Solanum lycopersicum: one gene and its partners. The main gene of each other region encodes a partner of the protein of the gene in region 2 in a complex. Links are inferred from orthologs where the notes say so. Each region holds a gene or a part of one and is shown on either strand. Other genes may lie near its edges.

The links.
Region 1: protein TIC 22, chloroplastic (region 2) and protein TIC110, chloroplastic share a complex: the UniProt entries of both Arabidopsis thaliana proteins name them as parts of the tic complex. The link is inferred for Solanum lycopersicum from reciprocal best matches to the Arabidopsis thaliana genes Tic22-IV and TIC110.
Region 3: protein TIC 22, chloroplastic (region 2) and protein TIC 20-II, chloroplastic share a complex: the UniProt entries of both Arabidopsis thaliana proteins name them as parts of the tic complex. The link is inferred for Solanum lycopersicum from reciprocal best matches to the Arabidopsis thaliana genes Tic22-IV and Tic20-II.

The regions. Positions count from the first base shown.
Region 1 is NC_090808.1:26,784,273-26,789,522, forward strand, and holds the start of protein TIC110, chloroplastic, read left to right. Parts: upstream 1-2,179; 5' UTR 2,180-2,323; coding exon 2,324-2,829; intron 2,830-3,047; coding exon 3,048-3,107; intron 3,108-3,767; coding exon 3,768-3,891; intron 3,892-4,025; coding exon 4,026-4,094; intron 4,095-4,191; coding exon 4,192-4,290; intron 4,291-4,502; coding exon 4,503-4,569; intron 4,570-5,230; coding exon 5,231-5,250. UniProt on the Arabidopsis thaliana protein: Involved in protein precursor import into chloroplasts. Forms a voltage-dependent cation-selective channel at the inner envelope of chloroplasts, which specifically responds to a transit peptide.
Region 2 is NC_090803.1:65,447,577-65,452,914, reverse strand, and holds the start of protein TIC 22, chloroplastic, read left to right. Parts: upstream 1-2,219; 5' UTR 2,220-2,332; coding exon 2,333-2,770; intron 2,771-3,152; coding exon 3,153-3,215; intron 3,216-4,221; coding exon 4,222-4,296; intron 4,297-4,814; coding exon 4,815-4,865; intron 4,866-5,054; coding exon 5,055-5,114; intron 5,115-5,222; coding exon 5,223-5,288; intron 5,289-5,338. UniProt on the Arabidopsis thaliana protein: Involved in protein precursor import into chloroplasts. Imported into the intermembrane space via the Toc translocon. May be involved in the import pathway used by proteins without a cleavable N-terminal pre-sequence.
Region 3 is NC_090810.1:3,715,612-3,719,419, forward strand, and holds protein TIC 20-II, chloroplastic, read right to left. Parts: upstream 1,497-3,808; 5' UTR 1,460-1,496; coding exon 845-1,459; 3' UTR 772-844; downstream 1-771. Other genes in the region: pentatricopeptide repeat-containing protein At4g39952, mitochondrial, read left to right, coding at 1-79; membrane-associated protein VIPP1, chloroplastic, read right to left, coding at 2,934-3,053. UniProt on the Arabidopsis thaliana protein: May be involved in protein precursor import into chloroplasts. Not redundant with TIC20-I, TIC20-IV or TIC20-V.

The DNA.
Region 1 (5,250 bases), on a different chromosome or scaffold from region 2:
TTCCACCTAGGTTCGAACCCGAGTGGAGCAAGACTTTACTCTTAGAACCCATTTTCGGCCCTCTCTTCCCAAAATGCCCCACCACCTTATTAATTAAATAATTAAATATATATTTAGGGTAATTATGATATTACCCTTAGCCTGGAAAAAGGTCATTTTACCCCTAGACCCTCCAAACTTAAGATTTCTCCTTTTTAAGTTCGATAAAGACTCATCCGGGTAAATCTTCATATTCGGGAGCCCTACATGTCTGGACCCAATCTTTCCTAGCTCAACTAAATCCCCAATTTATTTGTCTTGTCTGTTGCAAGGGTTCAGAGGCCTGGTTCTACGCGCATCAATCCGTGTGAATCCGATCTAATCGTAGAAATTCTAGACACATTATGCATTACTTATCTTATACATTTTTAGGGTTGTTACAGTATAAATAGCCAAATGATACATAGAGTTTCGTTTTGAGTTCCAAAAGTTCTCTTTGGAAAATAAGGTTGAGAGTTTGAGAACACTTTACCTTTAAAGAACACTTTTCTAGTTTTGGAGGTTTTACAACTTGGTGCTTAATGTTGATAAATTGAAGTTGAACCTAAAGTGAGTTTACTCTTAATTGCTTAATTTCAAGTTATCCATGACTGCTTTCATGGAATGCATACATTCTTTATATTTTGTGATGATTGGTCAAAACCCCAAGATCTAGGAGTGCTCAAATGGAGTTGAGTGTTGATTTAATGTGCAGAGTATTGTTTTATGCTCTGTTTTGTTGTTGTTCATACAAGAATTTGATCTAATTACCATAGGTTTAACTTGAAGGTTAAGGCTGCAAACTTAATTCCTACATCTGATCTCTGGTTGATGCTCGAAAGAGATTGAAGTGGGTAATTAGTTTAATACTAGCAATTTAGGTTTGATGTTTGTAACTTGCTTGAAAAAAGGTTATGAGTTGGATCTATTTCTTTGTTCTTGAAAGAAAGAATAGAGTAGGGTATTGAGTTGTTTAAATTGACATTTAGATGAGTCCGAAAGAAGATTCTATGCATAGATGCTTTGAGATCAAAGATAATTAACGTCAATGAAGATGACTTAGCATATTCATGAATTTTCATCTCTATAAAGCAGCACAATCACCCATTCCAATCCCCGCATCCCTACATTGCTTGTTAACTCTTGGATTCATCTATATTTTAGTTCAATTTCAATAATTGATAACCTAAGCTTTATATTAAGTTGATTGTATTATCCACCCTATTGTTCTTACTATTACAAATGTGTTAAATTAAACTCCAAATTTCTTGATAAGGAATTCTCCACTATATATCATTCCATGTGGGATTCTATCCGTACTTTTCGCTAAGTTTTACTGATAGTGATTTGAGCGTTATCAGTCAACTGCTGCTACTATTGATTAGTGACTCTTCATAGTTCGAGGGCTAGGTCATCACTGGCTTTATCGTTTCTAATCTTTTCAATTTTTAGATATTATTCGTGGCGTAGAAGTTCATGTTCTAGTCACATTATGATTAATAGAGGACTTGTCAAACATAGACAATGTTCCATGTATTCCCTTATGTACTATGTTGGTATCTTTTATGCCATTGGTAGATTTACAACTTATATTGATTATATCTTTTGGATTGTCTTTATTATGTCATACTCATGTCAAGTAGTTTAATTTGTTTATAGCCTCTTGGTGTTTCATTCGCCATGTCGCGCCTAGGGATACTTTGCATCGTGACAATTTTATTTATTTTCTTGATTTTTCTTTTATATGTGTACTCATAATTTTATTTAATTAAATTAGCTTATAAATTTAATTTATTTAGAAAGAGTTGTTTGTTACTAAATAAATTCAATACAAGTCAATGCAATATTTAAAAATGTTAGTTGTTTAACATTTACTAATTGAAAAAACAAATATATCATCACATGACATTTTTGATCTTAGTTGTATGTATTATTTGTTGATATATATATTTTCTTATTATTTTGTTGATTAATTTATAAAACTACATACATATAACGAGTTTTTGGCCAAAAACATATTTTTATGTGTAAACTACTTTGGTTTATACAATTTTAATATCGTTTATCGATTTACAAATATAACAATTCATTGGTGTTGAAATGCGGCAAATGACAAATAATATTATGTTGACCCAATTACAAGATAATAAACCTATGTTATTCCAAAAAAACAAACAAACCTTTATTATTCAACTTGTACCCCCTCAGACCCCTATCCTCTTCTTCTTCTTCCTAGTTCCAAACTCCGGACGACTTGGTTAAACCCTACTTGAACATCAACTAGTTATTAGAAGAGGTAGTAGATATGAACCCATCATCACTTCTCCTCCCTATCAATCAACCTCCTCCTGTCAACACTTTCCGCTCTCAATTTCTCAATCCTACACCTCTCCGTCTTACCCCTAAATTCTACCTAAAACGCCGCATTCAGTCCACCGTCATTTCATCTTCATCTGCCTCTCTTCAGCACAAACCTACTTCCGTCAACCCAGATGTCTTTGGAGGTAAAAAGGAACTTTCTCCTATTCAATCCCTTGTTGATGCCATGTCACCCCCCATAAGAATAGCCAGCTCCGCTTTGATATTTGCTGCTGCTATTGCTGCTGGATACGGTCTTGGTCTTCGTTTTGGTGGATCCCGGAATGCTGGGCTTGGTGGTGCTATTGCTTTTGGTGCTGCTGGTGCCGGCGCTGCTTATGCATTGAATTCTTGCGCTCCTCAAGTTGCTGCTATTAATTTGCATAACTATGTCGCTGATTTTGACAACCCTGCTGCCTTGAACAAGGAAGATATTGAATCAATTGCCAATAAGTTTGTCCACTATGCACATTTGGCTTTTTTTTTTTTAAAAAAAAAATATATATATGTGTTATCAGTGACTAATTAAATTAGATACCAAGTGTGAGCAAGTTATTCTCTACTGCAGAATCTTGGACTATTTAGCTACATTATGAGCTCTCACACCCAACTTTCTCATACTTATTTTTCTACGTCTTTTCCTTACCAATTTACTGCTTTTTATCTTTAAGGTATGGTGTCAGCAAACAGAATGAGGCATTCAATGCGGAGCTGCGAGATATATATTGCCGGTGAGTGCAAAATCAAGTACTGATTTCTTAAAAACTCTTACGGCTGACACGAAACTTGCATTTATTACAATTTTTCAATGTTATATGATAATCTCTTTTTTTTCATTTTTGGTTTCTTCTCCCTGACTCTCGAATGACAAATTTTTCTTTTTATGAATTGCTTGCTTGGATATAAATAACTAAATTTTACCCTTTGAAGCACTTTGTAGGATAAAGTATGGCTTTTGCACTTTGTAGAATAAATTTATTGTTCTTCCATTCCCAAGATGTGTCCCAAAGTGTGTCAAGTTTTGCAAATCAAAAAAAGAAGGAAAATACTGTCACCTTTCTGGAATTACAACTTCTTCCACATACTTTTCTAGTTTTCTATAATATTTTAGTTCTTTATGACCCAGAAAGTGTCAAATTTTCTAACCTTGTCTTGACATATTGACCCAGTTACATTTGAATGGAAAACTGTCCATCCTGTTGTGATACTTGTCTTGGACACCTAAAGGGAATCAAGCATAGTGTTTCTCTGATCCATTTATAATGTTTATCTTGAAATTTGAATGTTTTTGACTATTTTATCTACCAATGACAAGGAATGACTAACTTGGTAGTTTAAACATTGTCAGCTTATCTACCGTCACATATGCATCCAATTTTGTTTGTGTTCAGGTATATATCTGCTGTCCTTCCTGCTAGTACTGAAGAACTTAGAGGCGATGAAGTTGATACAATAATCAAATTTAAAAATGCATTGGGAATTGATGATCCAGATGCAGCAGATATGCATATGGAGGTAACTTGAAGTATCCATCTGATTCTGTACCTAAGAGTTGTAAAACTTCTAGCTGTGGTTGGCTCAAAGTTAAAATGTTATGTTATCAAATAATTTACCAAGTATTAAGAAACTCTTACATGTTGATCTCTCAGATTGGTAGGCGAATCTTCAGGCAAAGACTTGAAACGGGAGATCGTGATGGAGATATGGAGCAACGTCGGGTGGGTCATCTCTTCAAAAAGCTTCAGTTTCCAAAGACTACTGCCTTAAGTTATCGAATAACAACAAATGGAACTTGATCATTTTTGACTTCTCCAGGCATTTCAGAAGTTGATATATGTCTCAACTCTTGTATTTGGAGAATCATCTGCTTTCCTTTTACCTTGGAAACGTGTTTTCAAGGTTACTGATGCCCAGGTAGCGGATTATTTATCACTCTCTCCCTCTTTGTGGAGTATTCAGATTGTGCAGTGGCATGTCCTGCTTGTGTGGTTTTAACATTTCTGTATTTTGATTTGAGGTTCCTGTCATTTGTCTCTTTCCCTGCCCCCTTCATTTATGTAATATTAGATTTCTATATAGTGCGACCCCCTGTGTCCTTTTACTCGTTTTAACATTTTTGCCATTAGGTTGATGTTGCTGTCAGGGACAATGCACAACGGTTGTATGCCTCCAAGCTTAAGTCTGTTGGGCGAGGTAAGTTTTCTCTATTGATGCCTTTGAAGGCACTTTTACTTCTAACGTAACCTATTCATAGGAAACCATTTTACTAGTTTTCTTTTGCATACCTAATTAAACTAATGCTCTTCCAAACTACTTGTCGATATTCTTGGGTATGTTTTCTAAAATTTTCGATCTCTATTAAACTGATTCTAATAAATCTGTATATGTGCTTAAATTTGGCTTTTTTGTGGTATGTGGTGCTTAATCCTGAACAAAGATGAATCATACCATGAGGCTCCACATATGTGGCATGGGTTTAGTATGTTCTATTCATGCACTGAGTAGAGACTTTTTTGAAGTCTTTCTGTCGCTTCAAATTTCTTTGCATTTTAGTGATATATCCTATTGGTTTATGGGTTTTGAGAGCCTTCTGACGATAGCTCTTGAATCTGGACATCTCGTTATTGCTTAGAGTAGAGGGAGTCTTTGTATGATTCCACCAATCTTATATGGAAAATGCTAATTCTTTCATTATCTTCACGAACTCCACTCTTAGTAGCATCTACCTTGAAATTCTATGTTATGGACTTGTGGCGGTGTCAGGGTGATATCACTTGTTTCTTTTCATGATTTAATTCCTGCACTGCACTTCAGTGGTTTTGCATGGTTAATTTAATTACTTTACCTGTTCCAGATATTGATGTGAACCAGCTG
Region 2 (5,338 bases):
CAACCAAACAGTACCCATGTACTTACATTATGATATATAACAAACGAATATATCATCCTTTGGAGGTGTTTAAAATGATTTAAAAGAGTTTAAGCGTTAAGTTGGTAAAGACATGAGTTGACAATCCGAGTCAAGTATAAAAATCTCACAGTATGTGAATACTTTTTAGAAAAGATCCAAAGAAAATTGAAAAAACTTAAAAATATGAAAACACCTCGAGGTTGTAAAATTTGATTGTTATTGATTTAGTTTGTATTTGAAAATTTTGAATCAATTTAGACTATGTACATGAGCTCTATATATGCAAACCTATGTACTAAGGGGTCGTTTGGTTGGAAGACAAGTTATGGTACAATTAGATATATTAGGAGTACGAAAAATTAATGAATTGAATAATTTTGCACAATACATAAATATGTCCTTTAATTTGGCTTCAAATCACATTTATGTCTTTCAACTTTGGGTGTGCACAAGTAGACACTTAAACTTATATAAAGTTGAACAAATAGACACACATGTCCTACATGTCATTTTTTGTCCAACGTGGTGTCCTACATGTATTTTGCCATGTAGGACTCATGTGTTTTAAAAAAATTTGATAGTTAAAGTGTATGTTTGTGCATAATGAAAGTTGAAGGTCAAAGTTAAAATTTGAAGCCAAGTTTAGAATCCAATGTATGTATTATGCCAATAATATTTAAAGAATAATTTGTTTGTTTACAAAAATACCCTCCATCATTTAAAATAGAAAATAGTTTGAAGAACATCTATTATTCCACTCTCGAAATAACTTTTCATGATACTATTAATTATTATTATTCTTGCTATTATAATCAAATAATGGATAAGAATAATTAAACGATCTCTAATGATCGTTTTGGTAGTTGGTTAGAGTTATGCATTGATATCTATTAGTAATGTAGTGATTATTTATGAATTAGTCGATCCATTATTTTATGCAGATATGAGTTATTCGTGTATTAGTTATCCATAAGACATACATTAGATTATTAGAATTAATTATTCCACTTTCTATTATGCATTAAATAATAAATAGATTTCATCATAAGTTATACATGTATTAATTGTGCAGATTTCTTAACTGTCAACTAAACATTGTATTAATTTTGTACATGTATAATTTATTTTCTATGATTTTATCCACCTACTAAACATGTATAAGTTGTACAAAAATTAATATGAGTAACTTGTTTCTCATCCAGCTTCCAATCACTTATATACATGTAATTATTTTCATTATTTGTGTCTATGTAAACATAATTTGACATGAGATTGAAGTCTCAGTCTAATAGTTACAAGTAACAACTTTAACTTGCATGTAAATGCCAAGTCTAAAAACAATATGCGTACGAATATATGTTTTTCAGGTCATTAGAAACTTTTTATGTACTATCGAACAATAATTTGGTGAATATAAAATGGAGGTTATTTGAGTTAATAAGCTTTGATTATTTTTTTATTGTTGCATCTTTGTGGTTTATACTAGGTCTTACTCCAACTAAATAACTTATGAAACAATGCAGATAAGAAATTAATTGTGTCAACTTTGTACTATACAAGTTACATGAAAATTAATTGAGAAGTCATCCCTATATTTAATTACTTTATGGAGAATCGAAAAGGATCAAATTTGTTTTTGAACTATGCAATTAAAACAAATTTGTCATTCATTACTATGAAGGTCAAATATGTCCTTGTCGTTACTAAAATGGGCTAAATTTGCCCTCGTTACCCCTCCTATTCTATTTTACAAGCACGTAGTAATAAACAAAGATCTCAAAAGTTTATTTTTTAATGAAAAAACACCACACTTGGCTTCAAGTTGCTTGATCTTGCATTTGATGTTTGTGAACAAAACGACCAGATATGTTCAAATTTGACCTCAATTGGCAAGTTAACACTTTAACTTTGAGTATGCACATCTAGATACTTCGACTCATCTTTAGCGTCCAGCTTTGTAAGTAATCATCTAGACACCTCTAAAATTTACATGTCACATCAGCATCAAGTGTCCACGGAAAATAGAGGGGTTGTTAGTTGAGATCAAATTGAGTTCAATAGATATTTTTACTTAATAGTTGAGATCAAGTTTGAGTGTGCCTATTTATATCTTATGCCGATATTCTTTATATAATATTTGTATATAAACTAGACAAACGAGACTATTATATATTGTGATTTGTGATGGATGGGCCTTTAGTAGATGGATTAGTAATAATAATAATTGGACCTAATGTGAACCGAAAGCCCAAACTTGAAATACGAAAGCCTTCTTCTCCGAATCCTCTTCCCCTTTCTCTGTAAACAATCAATGGAGTCCAAACCCTCAAGCGGATTCGGACCCTCCAGTAGTCCTCTACTGTCTCTCTCCACCTTCGTCCACCAGCACTGCTCCCGACTCGGTGCTGAACTCGCTAACCGATTCGACGAAGCGAAACGGCTGAGTTCTAAAATCGCCGCCGATTTTATGCAGCAGCCGCTGCCAGCGGCGATAGGGAGGAGTTGTTCGTTGCCGTTGCATTCTTATCATCTATCTCTTCCGTTCGCTTCGGTGTCGCAGCGTCAAGAGAAGGTCGCTAAAAATACCGGTTTGAGCTCGGATTATGTTGCTAAGACATTAACTGGAACTTCTGTATACACAGTTAGCAATTCTAACAATGAATTCGTGCTCATTTCGGACCCGAATAGTGCGAAGTCAATCGGATTATTGTGCTTCCGTCAAGAGGACGCCGAGGCATTTCTTGCTCAGGTGAACTTCATTTTTTAAAATGAATTTATCGAATTTTTTCTCTATAGAAGAGAGTGAAAGGAGAGATGAACTCCTTTATCAAAGTAGGGTAGCAGGAAGGGGAAAAGATATGTATAAATTAGCCCAAAAGAGAAAACTAAGTTAAAGATGATTGCTTTAAAAGAAATTATTGGGTAATTATCATTGGAACATTGCCTTCAAAGGTCAAATTATTTATTTTTGGGATGTATTGAACCTGAATATAGTGGAATTGATACATAAGATAGCAGATACAGAAGACATAATGTGGACCTTATTAGTTTGCAATTGAGGCGTTGTTATAGAAGTTTTGATATACATGGAAGGCTTGTTTGTGGAGAAATGAACACGTGAAGATTTTCAGGTACGGTTGCGGAAGAAGGAAGTGAGAGGTGGAGCTAAGGTAGTTCCGTTGACACTTGATCAGGTGAATTTTTGTTTCCTTTTGCTAGGAATTTTTCTTTTAAGGATGTATCTGCTTTGGTGATTATTTTCTTCTTTCCTTTTAAAAGTTTGTACATTCATTTGAAAAGAATTGCAAACTTTAGGAGTGACATTAGATTACTCTATGGAGAAGGCCATTTTCTTGTTTTAAGGATTGAACTTTAGCAAAATTTTAGTACCATGAAAGTGTCTGGTAATAGATATGGTATTTGTGATGGACAGTTTTGTCTCTAGTGCTTATCAAGATTGGTTGGTGGAAAGTCAGAAGCTACTGATGATCGACTTGTGTGTATATGTACAATCTATTTCTTTGCATATATTGATAACTTCTTCTTGCAAGAATGGGTATAAACTTTGATGGTTATTGAATCGTCCCTTATTAGTTAAAGAAGTGTTGGATTCAAATACAGCAGAATGGAGATACCGATCCTAACTTGTTTAGATTGACACATAGTTGATTGATTGAATCAAAACAGAGCATGCATGGTATTTAGCATAAGCAATGGAGTCTTTTCAAACGCACCCCTTGAGATAAGGCTCGATTAGATTACCTGACCATCTCAGGTTAAGATTAATTTACTGAGCCATTTTCCTTTACCATTCCTTTTAGTGATTTCTTCTCTTTTACATCATTAAGATAAATTGTATGCATTATTGATACATTTTGTATCTCTTGTTCATCCATAAAAAAGGGGATCCTATCGTGCTCCTTTTGAGCCTCAGACGTCTGATCTGTCCCGTTTAATATATCTTCTTCTGCTATTAAATTAAAAAGAAAAAATTGAAGCTTAACTTAAGAATGAAAGACATTTTTGTCTCTATTTAACAGGTCCAGTGTACATTAAATAATCTACTGCAACTAGTTGCAGTTGTCTGTATGTGCAAGAATTTCTGTTTTTTGCTTTTCCATTTCTTCCTAAAGGTGTTGCCAGGCACTTGTCCCGTATTTTGAATAGTTACACGTCTTTCTTGTTGGTATCACTTTGCAGGTTTACATGTTGAAGGTTGAAGGAATCGCATTTCGTTTTTTGCCAGATCCTGTTCAAATTAAGAATGCAATGGAGGTAGTTACCCATGTTGGTCATCCTTAAGTTTTGTGTCTGGGATCCTTGTAATTTCCACTGAATGTAGTAGAATTGCACAAGGACGCCTGTTCAGTTGTGCAAGTGAAAGTTATACTGTATATGTATATTCATCTACCTGTGATAGTTTTACGTGAAAGTACACTGGCATGTAGCTTTAACTAATGACCAGATTCCAGAGGTGGTAGAATTGCTTGCAACCCATCAATTTTTGAGGTCCACTGACATACCCTTGTTTTTTCTTCTCTTTACTGTTAATTCAAATATTTCCAAAATGGAGGTCTTTTCGAGATTTGAACTTGGGTTACTGACATGCCTGGTATGTAGGCTCTTGCTCACTAGTCTAGTAAATGAAGCATAGATTATTAATGGCTTGACCTCCATTGCCACCCAACTTCTGTCTCCTCCTCCTGGAAATATCTATTTGGCTAAACATAATATTTCAATGCATGCTTATTAAAAAAATCTGTTCATCTCAACATTGTCTTTTCCTGTGACAGTTAAAAGCTTCTGATGTAAAGACTGGATTTGATGGAGTCCCTGTTTTCCAGGTAGCATATAAACTTTTTTGCCAACTGTATGCAAAAAAACTCTAACATTACATGCTCAGCCTGTGTATTTTTTGAATTATGAGCCTTCACTCACTGGAAAGCTTTTGCTAAATATTTTGTATATCAGAGAGTGGACTGCTGAATATGGTTAAACTCCGCTTAATTCTGTAGCTTTTTGTTCTTGTGCAGTCAGATCTCCTAGTTGTGAAAAAGAGAAACAGACGATACTGTCCAATATACTTTCGAAAGGTATGTTGGTTTTTAATATCTTGAACTGGAACTAGTCAGAAGAAACAAAAAATTAGATATAGTTATTATTCGTGATGGTTTTCATTGAATTCCTTTTCGGGTATACAGGAGGATATAGAAAAGGAGTTATCATCAAGGGCATTGAGAGGATCTAGTGTCTCTCAGCACATTATGGTATCATAATCACTTTTATCTTTCTGTTTTCTTTCTGATAGGGCGTGCAA
Region 3 (3,808 bases), on a different chromosome or scaffold from region 2:
GTGGGAAGAGGTAGAAATGGTGAGGAAAATAATGAAAGACAGGAAAGTGAGGAAAGAAGTTGGCTGGAGTACTGTATAGTTTACGCAGCGACTTGTTGGGAGTCTATTAGCAACTCAAGTTATGGTAGTTCTAATGTGATGAAGATTTGGCGCGATTAAAGGTTTTACACTTGCAAGAGTCGTTCAATTAGAGCTCCCTAATTTGCTTCACCAGAAGAATGAATGATCCTATGGTTACATTGAGATGGTTTTCAGGTTATGAAGCCCTATCGTTTTTCTGGTCAATGATAGTATTCTGGTTTTGGCCTTGCATGATGAACAAAATGTAGTTTTATTATTCTTTGTTGAAGTTCAACCCTTTAACAATGTAACTTACGACAACAGAAACAACATAGTCAGCGTAATCCCACAAGTGGGATCTGAGGAGGACAATGTATGATATGCATGTAGACCAAACCTTGAAAAGTGTTGATATAAGCAAAGGAATTATATTCTCTATTCAACAAAAGCCATTGATATTCCTTAGAGATCGTTTGATAGCTGATAAAGAAACAATGTATTATTGAAAACCCATTATTACTAGTACATTTACGAGTTGTTCGGTGTGAAGTATAACGTGTAATGATTCCATTACAAAATCAAGATATTATTATTTATCCCAAGAAGTTACTTTATCAAGATTTGAACTTTACGAGCCCTTTCCATTGCATCTCTCATGGAGAAACATCTCATCGACGATTCGATTTAAAATATCATACATTAAAATTACAATTCTATGCAACAAAAACCTTCCTTTCATTAGAGAAAACCACAAAACAACATATTAAATAAATTTTAAAAAGAACTACATTTGCCTATTAGCAGCTTCAGTAACAAAAGGCAAATAAGGAGTTTTTCCAAGTATAGAAGAAACAAGCCCATAAATAAAACAGCCCACAACAAACACAAAAAGCCCATTATGCATCCAAACCGTAAATTTCAGCCCAATACCCGATTGACCCGGTGAAAATATCCTCTGAATCAACATCGGAAGCACCAGTAGAACGTCGAGCACCACCGCTTGCAGGGCGTTGAACCGGGGGTACTTGTTCAGATTCTCGTTCCGAACAATACCTAAGTAGAGTGCAAAGAAAGTGACAAAGCTAGCGTATGGGAGGGACCGGTAGAGTGATAGAAGAGGGAGAATTGGTTGAAATGGAAGAGCTAGGGTTGGGTATTGAGCGAAGAGGAAACGGCCGTATTGAAGGCCGTTGAAGAAGGGGAGAAAGTAAGCGACGGCGGAGATAAGGCGGTCGGTGGCGGGGATTGGGTTGTAAGAGGCGGAGATGGAAGTGGTGGGTTTGGTATGGATACGGGTTCGGGTTTGAATACGGGTTTGGAGTAAATTGAGGCTGAGAGGGTGGGGGAGAAGACGAGGGGTAGTAGTGGGAGTGAAACGGAGAAGAGGAATGGAAGCCATTTTTAGGGGAAATGTGAGGTTTTTTTTGGGTGTTTATAAAGATGGATTTTTGTTGTTTGAGGTACAAGTTGTAATGCATTATTTTGATTAAAAAATTAGAAAAAAAATAATTTCCGTTGCCGGGACTTGAACCCGGGTCTCTCGGGTGAGAGCCGAGTATCCTAACCAACTAGACTACAACGGATTATTGATTGATCAACGAGTAATTTTCAATATAGCTCGTTGTGCGTCGCCACCTCTCAAATATCATATAGGTTCAATTAAGATTGTGTGAAGTTCTTTGTCAGTTGGTTGTTATGTTATGTGTTGCCACCTCTCATCTGTACATTCGATTAAAGTTGTTGTGAAGTTCAGGATTAATCAATTGATTGTTGTGTGTTGCCATCTCTAACTTATCGTACACATTTAAGTTATAGTTGAGGTACATAGGGTCTTATCGTCTATCCGTTCAGTTAGGGCTACATATCGAACACTTCGGCTTTGAAGTTTATCGATTTGACTTATTAGTTATCGATTTGTAGATATGCTAAACGGTTGTAGAACCATTAAGATTAGCTTATCAGTTATTGATCGTTCGGTTCGATAATTTATTTAACCGTTAAGTTTGACAAAAAAACACATTGAAAATCACTTTAGAACAAGGTGGCAAACCAATTTAACCATGCACATGAATTCACAAGTTTCATCTTGCTCAAAAGCAAACACTTTTACATCGTAGAATAACCAAGTGTTTGAGACAATCAGAAACAAAAGTAGGAAACCAAACTCTAAATTAAGGACTTTATAAGCAAAATGATATGAATATAATTATTTAATTAACCATCGGATTATCAGTTATCCAGTTAAGAGATAACCTCAAAAGATAACCCGATAACAAAAAAAAAATCAAAGCCGTTCTCAAAACCGCTAAACCAATAACTTTTTTTCGATACGGAATATCGGTTCCGATCAATTTTGAACAACCCTACATTCGCTACACCGCATCTTTGCAGAGAACTCAGTTTCACTAAGTTCATGTCAAAGAGAAAGGGACCATCGCTACATTATTCCGAGTAGCTCATTATTTATGAGACAAAAATAAGATTTTGAGGAGGATGGTGTATACACAACCTTGCCCGTACCTTGCGAAGAAAGTTTGAAGCATGTCGTCACAAAATGAGAGCAAAAACAACACTGTGGAAATTCCAAATCTACTACAATGCAACTTGAAGTGACTATTCTCACATGAAAACATTTGGGTGGCAGTATACAAAACTGTAGTCAGGACTAGCTTACACTATATTGCCATAATGTAGGTCAATAATTTGAAAAAAGATATATCAACATATCTCAATATACTTTTTCCAGTTTCACTTCCTATATTCGCTGGCCTTTATCGATGAGGCAACTTCTCGGAAGATCCAAAAGCCACAATCTTTGAGTAACAAATGCCTGAAGGAAGATGTTTTGTAGTGTGAAAGATCGACTGTGATCTCTAGAAGTCATTTGCCCGCCTCCTTAACTCGTTCAATTCTTTTTCAATCTCTGAATCTTGAAATTGTAATGGCGAGCTTGATCTGGTAACTGGTGTTCTCCCCGGTGGAAGATCCCCTTTCTGCTTAGTCAATAAAAGGAAAACATTAAACCAAAATACCTCAGCTCTACATCAACAATAAAGCAGATTATGTTGTTTCTTTTCCTGATAGTTGAGAAAATTCTCCGCGGGCCAATTGAGGCACGGCTTGTGATGTGCCCCTAGCTCACACATTACGTACTACGCTCTTACCACTGGACCAAAGCCTTGGCGGTGGGGGGGGGGGGGGGCACAATAGAGCTAATTATGCGTCCTCAAGTACCTCCCGCACCCTCTCAAGTTGACCAAATATGCACGCTAATTTTCGGTTTTTTCCAAGTAAAAAATAAGAGATTTGCCAAAGCAAGGAAGCAACAAGCAACATGACCTATAATCATCATAGGTACGTAAAATGTCATGTTAGACTTTCTTTCTTTTAAGGTTGTTCGGACTTCCTTTCTTAATTCGTCGTTGAAGGACACCTTCAAGTTCTTATGAACATCCAAACCAAGCTGCTTTTATGGATAATACAATTTCATGGCTACACAATTAACTTAGCCATAAGTGTGTACAATGGAAAGAAGCAACTCATACTTCGTCTCATCTTATTTACAATATGCAGTTCGATTTATTCAAATTTGACATCACCCATTAACAATATCAGGGAGAAAAAAGAAAATAGCTGGCCAACGTTCGTGATTATTTTCTTCTATCCTAGAAATCCTGTTGCTTGGTATAATTAGCATATTTGGCCAAGCATAGCTCAATTAAGTTTGTCCTCTAGGTGCCCATACTTC